Linked DNA regions of Stegostoma tigrinum. The protein of the gene in region 1 purifies or fractionates together with the protein of each later gene. This does not show direct contact. Links are inferred from orthologs where the notes say so. Each region holds a gene or a part of one and is shown on either strand. Other genes may lie near its edges.

Region 1 (3,753 bases):
AAGACAGTCAATGATGGAAATGTAAAATGAGTATGCAACTTTTATATAAAAGAAATGCTATATATATAAAACTGAACAGCAACTCAGAATGTACAATGAAAACAGCACAGCACTAAAAAAAAAGAATTGTTCAAGAAACTTTGAGAGAGCCACAGGAGGGGATTTTGCCCCACCACCACAGGAACTCAGACATACAAAACACAGAAATGAATCAGGTGCTGACTGGAAGTTACTCTGAAACTTTCGTTCGGCCTTAGTTGCAAACTTACCTCTGAGTTGGACAATCGAGGTTTCACTTCCCACCCCAGGATGTTATATTATGAATGCTGACTTTCAGTAGTAGTACCAGTGGAGTGAATCTCCAGACAGGATGCATTATTTCAAAGAGTGAGGGCAGGTGTCCCTCATGTTCAAGCAGGCATTTATCCCACAGTCAACACCTAAACTAGATTATCTAGTCATTATCGCATTGTTGGTTGTGAATGTTTGCGCTGTACAAATTGGCAATTGATTTTAATACATTGCTATAGTGAGACACACTCTTTCAAAATTGTTTTGGGACATTTTGAAGTCAGGGCAGGTGCAATTTGGAATGATTACCAGAACAACAATTAAATCTCATTAAATAACAATGGAAAGATGTCAGATGGACACATGAGCCATAAGTCATCACTAATCAGATTCACTTTGTCAGGCACAGGGCATACCTGAGTTTTGCAGGTTGATATTTGAGATGGTTAGTTAATTCAAGATGGAGAAAAAAAACATGTTTAAACTGATGATAAAACTCTACCTGGTATCAGCTTCACTCACTATACGATTATTGAACTGAGGTTCGAGAAAAACATACTGAGGCATTAAGACTGTTTATTCACTCAGATCCAGAATTACCCAAAACATGCCAGCACTCTTATTGAAAATAATCCTACTGGCATCAACAATCTTGGAATAACAGCAACAAATGAAACCTTGAATATTGACATCGGGGTAAAAACAGAAGTGAGATGAATTACTGAGAGAGCTAAATGGAGTACAAGGTACTGTGAAACCCAAAGGTAACACAATCGTGTCATCGTCGGTGAGACATCAAATCTCCACCACATTGACGTCTATAGGGAGGTAGGACTCAACAGCAACACTGAGCGACCCCAGCCGTAGAAGACACAGCGACCAAACAAATCTGTAAGTTCAACAGCTCCACTCTAACTGGTTTACTCTGTTCTCTCTGGTAATGTCAGCGTGCAACTCCTTCCTCCCCACAAATATCGCACTTCCCTGAACTGGCGCGCATCTCTGTGCTGTTCATGTGATGCGAGAAAGCCAGGGCTTTGAGAGCTGTAGCCGGAGTTCAAGAGGAAAGTCTGAGGATAGGCTGGGGTGGGAGGGGTGCCGGGGGCTAATGCTGGGGTTCACTTCAAAACAAAACTACTCTCTGGTTCCGCATCTGGACCTGCGATGACAGCTTGAATGCTGTACGTACATTAAAGGTCCTTCATCGTGCATACGCCCTGAAGTAAAAACAGAAATTGTTGGAAAGACTCAGCAGATCCGGCAGTATCTGTGGAGAGAGAAACAGAGTTAACGTTTCGGGTCCAGTGACCCTTCTTCAGAGCACTATGCATTAAATGGACAAAGTTGGAGTTTCAATTGGCGATCGGGAGTCCAGAGTAAACAGGAGGAGGCTCTGAGTGCAGTCTCCAAAGTGGGCTGGAAAGAGGTGAAAGGAGAGAGTGGCGGTTGGGACAGAAAAAAATTCGATGAACCGCTGACTCTGGCCAGAGAGCAATCTGCAGCGAATGTCAGTGTCATGAGGAATTGGGAATGGTTCCTGAGTGCAGACTGTACACACAGCTTCGCAAATGGGCCCGGGGACCTGCGACTGTCTTAAACAGTAGGGGCTGTTCGGAGCGGAATTAAATCAAAATAACATCGATCACCTCTAGTTCTCGTTTCACATTTCAGTAACACCCCAGACTTCGGTGAAACTTCCCGATTGTGATTGGCTGGAATGTCTCGGCTTTACGTTAACATAAAGCGGTCAGGGACACAACGGAGTGGGCATTCAATAGTTTATGGAGAAAGAAATTGTAAACATGGAGTTTAAAAAAATCTACATTTGATCTATTTGACATACAGAATGTGCCAATCAGAGTGGGTTTAGTCACACGAAGCGGGTAGGCTATGTATAATATAAAAGGTCGTATTTAGTACGTTTCTGATCCAACCACAGCAGAAACAGTTTTTGAGATGGGACTAGCTAGACAACCACTGCTGCACTATTGAAACAAAATAGTTTATGACAGATAAAGTTACAATATAATGTGAATAAATAGTCTAGAATTTGCTTCATTTAATTTTTAGTCACTTTCTGAGACGGGCAGTCTAACTTTTATGTTAATTTTAAAATGAATGATGATTTTTCAATGAAAGCCATACATCTGAAAGTCCGACTCTCTCTCTCTCTCAATGTCCGGAGAAAATGCCTGTATTTGTTACCTTAAGCACCCCCCTGTCTTGGTTGGGTGTCAGGTCCTCGGCTATCTGGTCCAGTTCCGTAGCCTGGGCTTCTTGCTCAGTCTCTTTTAGTTCCTGACCCGTGGTCATCATTCAGCCAAAGCGTACGACTTACTGGTTTCCACGAACTGCTGCACCCTCAGCCTCTCTCTCTCTCTCTCAGCTCTATGGCCACTAGGAGACTGCTGGGCGTTGGTGTCGCTCCGCTTGCTTCCTGCAGAGCTCGGTGTCCGAGCCGCTTCCTTGTCGCTCTGCCTCCTCTCAGCGCCGCTCTCCGGGAGATATGGAGACAGCTCTATCCCAGCATTCGTGGCGCGGGTGAAAGTGGCCTATTCCTGTCCTGGTGCGGGGATAGCCGTCATGGGGCGAGGTCAGAGGAGGTGGGGCTTCCAACTGCTCAATGGGGATGGGGAGAAAGGGGGAGGTGTAGAGAGAGGGGGAGTCCCAGGGAAAGGGGGAATCCCAGCGAGAGAGAATTGCAAGAAAGGGAGTATCATTAGATGTATCATTGATGGGATCAAGAGATTACAATGAGCAAATAGGCAGTGAAATTCATGGAGGACACGGGTTGGCTTCCTGTGACAGACCTGAAGACACGTAAGCGCTGTCTCAAGTTGAGAGGAGATTTGTCTTAGAGCATTCCAAAAACAATGAACGACAAAGGTGATATGGATGATGTTACTGGTATGAAGCCCCATTTACTGCAAGTTCAAATCAAACAAACAGGAGCTCTGGCTGCATGGTTTTCTATTTGTAACAGCTCTCTGAGGTTAGGACCCAGACTCGAGTCGAAACCCATGTTTTAATGCAACGTGTTGAACGCCTGAGATAAAATAGAGAGTTCATAGAAGGCGAAAACAAAACTGAACCTATTTCGAACTAAATAGCTACAGGAGAGATCCGATAACAACCCATTAGGACGAATGATCGAAGGCTTTGCCAAAGAAGCAGCTTTCAAGTAGTGTCTTCAAATAAAGACTTGCATTTATGTAACATCATTCATGACCACCAGTTATCCCAAAACAGTCAATAAAATACTTTTGTAGTGAAGCCATTGTTGTAAAGTCGAAAGCATTGCAGACATCAAACTCACAATAAGAAGCAATATGATAATGAACAGACGGTACTGTGATGTTGGCATTTCTCTCTAACCTGATAAAAAAACAAAGCCATAATATACTGACTAAATCAGGCTAAGTGCATAGCTTGGCTTGAGTTCACATTTGTTCAGTATGACAT
Region 2 (3,753 bases), on another chromosome or scaffold:
CATTGAGACAGTTGGCACCCCTGGCATTCTCTGAAGTGTTCTTGGAAACAGCCAGACAATCATAGACCTAAGGCTGCAAGGTACCTGTAGCATTTCTGGAATCCTGCAACCTTTCTTTCATGTTGCCCGGTGTTCCTGACAAACGTACCTGTTGCTCCTGTGTTTGTCTCAGCATTAACTCCCTTGTTGCCAACATCAATGGGCTCCTCCCCTGGGTAGTGTGGGCAGGTGCCTGTTCTCCAATGCCAATGACCTGGGGCATTTCTCAGTCAGCTGCACAGACCTAGGAGTGACATGCTCATCAGCAGATACTCCCACATCTAGTTGAAGCATTCACTGAGGGGGCAGTACCTGAACTAGTGGATAGGTACATGAGGCTGCCTTGCTGGTATATCCTCTGAGGCAACATGCTACTTTGCTCAGAGATGTGAGGAATGTTGACTATGGAGACCATGCTATTGCTGTTTATATCTGCAGGATAGAAAGGAGACAATGCATTGTGAACAAGGAGTAAAATTTCTAATGTGTTGCAAAGTCATTCACAGTGATGTAATGTAGGAGTAGCACAGGAATAGAGATTGCTTTGTATAGAAGACAGCGAGAAAAGTTACCTCAGCGTACGACTGGATCTTGATCAGATGGGCCAATGGGCTTAGGAGTGACAAATGGAGTTTAATTTAGATAAATGTGAGTTGCTGCATTTTGGAAAGGCAAATCTGCGGAGGACTTATACACTTAATGGCAAGATCCTGAGGACTGTTGCTGAACAGCAAGCCTTGGAGAGCAATTTCATAATTCTTTTAAAATACATTCATCACAGGTGGGCAGGATGATGAAGAAGGCATTTGGTATGCTTGTCTTTATTGGTCAGTGCATTGAGTATAGGAGTGGGAGGTTATGTTGCAACTGTACAGCACATTGGTTAGGCCACTTTTGGAATACTGTGTGCAATTCCAGTCTCTCCTTCTGCATTGTTAGGTGTTTCTCCAAACTCTGGAGTCCACTGATCCAGGTGGCAACCTTATAGGCAGGTAGGGTCTGGTTCCAAGATCACCTCTACCAGGCTGGGGTTGGAGGACGGCCCTCCTCAGCAGCATGCTATCGACTAAAGCTTCCAGGTCCCCTGGTCTACAAAGTGAGGTAGCAATTTTCCATTACCTGCATCATCCGGGGCAAATATCATTGATTACACAGGGCAGCACTGGACTGCCAGCTCTAGATAGGATGCACAATGAGCCGGTGCCAGTAGTCCTGGGACCAATGCTTCTGCTTACTGTGAATTGGCTAGCACTGGCTGTCATGGGCATGGTACCTGGTCAGTGAGTAAGTTTGGGATTGACAGACCTCTCTGGGAGAAACCCTCCATGAAATTTGACAAAATTTCCACAACACAGTCCTTTTACTTAAAAAAAATCTTCAATCTAATCCCACCTGCCAATGGAAACAATGATTTTGTTGACTATCCACCACAATAGTTTGCCCCTGTTATTGACTGTTCTCTGCTGGTCGAGGGGTTAGTCTGAAAAATGGCTGTCCGAGTCGTTGATCTGCTCAGTGTCACGTGCAATAGTAGCAGGTTAGTTAATTTTTGAGCCCAAGCAGTTCTTATCTCATCAGTTTCTGTGAATTGTCTGCTGTCAGTTATGATAGTTACTTTAATGCTAGTAGTGAGTCTCAGTCGTTACTTTCTTCACTGCTGTTAATTGCCGGAGTCGTTGAATTTGTTGCGGAACCTACCGATTATTGTATTTACTGCTTGTTAAGGATGTAGAGCTCGCCTGGGCGTTGTGTAGCCCCCGTACTGACGTGCTGGGGAGACTAAGCCAGCCTAACGTCACCCATTCTCGCACAAGGAAGAAGCTATCACACCGTTTACTGCAGTTCAGCGCCTTGCGAACCTTAGTTATGATCCGGAGCTAAACATAGGGGCAATACAAAGAGGTCGGGAGCCGGACCCGACTAGCTGCAGGTAGGAAAGCAAGCCTCAGGGTAAACCTTTCACTGAGGACGGTCCCAGCGCCTACAGGCCTGCCTCAGCTTTAGGCCTGTTCCCATTTGCCTGTCCGGAGATGTTAGACTGGTCTGCCCCCTGCCCTGGGCTTCCCTCCCGGCCAGCCGCCTCAGGAGCCGGGGAAGCCGCTTGTCCTGCGGCTGTGCCCGGGGAACAGGATGCTAGCTGCCGATGCTCCGCCAAGCGCGTTACGTTCTCTGCCATTCATTAAAATCAGTTCAGAGTCTGGACCGTAAGTTCATAATGGCCTGGAAATCACTGACTTGTACGTGAACGCCCACCTTGTCCTAACCCACGCAAGCTTGCTAACTGATATAATTACCTGCTACTTACCCTTGCTTTTTTCTCCCTTTAACACAGGTTGCTGTGAAGAATAAAGGGTTTCAATCAGGAACCTTCGAGTCAACTTACTTTTAAATCTTTTGTATCACTATGACTGAAGGTACAATCGTGAAAGAGGGGTGGCTTCACAAAAGAGGTAAGATTTTGTAATTGATTCCAGTGGAAGTACACAACACTCTTCTTTCCACGTGTTTAAACAGACATTTTACTATTGTCTAGTTTTAACAAGCAGAGTTGGTAAACAACTGTATTCCTATCAAAGTTTGCAAGAGAGCATCTTGATTTGATATAATTTGCTACAGTAACCCTATTTGATCTTATGGTATCGGTTAAGGGTTTTCTTCTGTAATGTCAGAAGCACTGTCCATAAGGTGCATTTTTTGAATTGTATTATTGATTATGTTTGGTGAAAATGGTAACAAATATAGGCACTTAAAATGTTGAATTGTGAATTAAAACCTCCTTGCTGCATTTACAGTATTTAACACAATAATACTACTGTCAATATTAATAAATAATTTTATTGTACAAAACACTATCTTGCAATAATTTTCACATGCCAATACTATCTAAGTCCCCAGTTATGGTATAGACCTTGAGTGCAGTCTGAATAGGAGGTTCTAACATAAGTACAAATACTGGAATTGAGCTTTTGTGCAATGATGGATGTGGTTTACTCTCCACTTCCTGACATGAATGAATGCCTTTTGAATGATGAAGACATGTCATTTGCCACTCCAGCAATTTCACCACATTTTTACGGTGGAAAAACTGACTCCATTGAGTTCAAAAACTGACATATAGACTCTTTAATCGCGCATTGAAAAAGTTCTATGTTTACTTTGTCAAGAGTACTTGTAATAAAATATTATTGATATGCAACTGATTACTTTTATTATATCACTTGGAGGAGAGTATTGCATTGTGAAATGCTGTCATCGCAATTAATTTCATGGGAGGTATGTCCTTATAACAAATGCCGCACAGTGTATGAAAAGATTCAAGCACATTTATACATTACAAGATAGGATATCTGATATACACATCATAATATTACCAAGATGTGTATATGTATTTTGAGGAAATGTTTTTAGATATATATGTCACTTTGTTAGAATGGCATATTACTTTTTACTTTTATACAGTGCTGCTTAATTTGTGGCAACTGCTATACAATATAACCAGTTGAAGCATAAACTGATGAAAACTATTACTCAATATTAGATAGTAGATGTTTGTGTAGTAATATTTGGGAAAAAAATAGAAATACAAACTTCATATTTAATCAAAATTGTAGTGATAGTGGGCATAAAAACATTTTATCTAGGATAAGTAATGTTGAGTGTGTCCCATTTAATGTAATGGTTTATTTGATACATTTCTTGAAATTAATTTCAATC

The links. The genes of interacting proteins can lie anywhere in the genome.
Region 2: the proteins of peptidyl-prolyl cis-trans isomerase FKBP5-like (region 1) and akt1 purify together in Homo sapiens (affinity purification with western blotting; 3 studies listed by BioGRID, with this or other methods). This does not show direct contact. The link is inferred for Stegostoma tigrinum from reciprocal best matches to the Homo sapiens genes FKBP5 and AKT1.

Annotation. Positions count from the first base shown.
Region 1 is NC_081374.1:42,890,361-42,894,113, forward strand, and holds the start of peptidyl-prolyl cis-trans isomerase FKBP5-like, read right to left. Parts: upstream 2,830-3,753; 5' UTR 2,608-2,829; coding exon 2,497-2,607; intron 1-2,496. UniProt on the Homo sapiens protein: Immunophilin protein with PPIase and co-chaperone activities. Component of unligated steroid receptors heterocomplexes through interaction with heat-shock protein 90 (HSP90).
Region 2 is NC_081363.1:42,992,035-42,995,787, reverse strand, and holds the start of akt1 (RAC-alpha serine/threonine-protein kinase), read left to right. Parts: upstream 1-1,469; 5' UTR 1,470-1,576; intron 1,577-1,670; exon of another isoform or gene 1,671-1,969; intron 1,970-2,185; exon of another isoform or gene 2,186-2,243; intron 2,244-2,371; 5' UTR 2,372-2,443; coding exon 2,444-2,489; intron 2,490-3,753. UniProt on the Homo sapiens protein: AKT1 is one of 3 closely related serine/threonine-protein kinases (AKT1, AKT2 and AKT3) called the AKT kinase, and which regulate many processes including metabolism, proliferation, cell survival, growth and angiogenesis.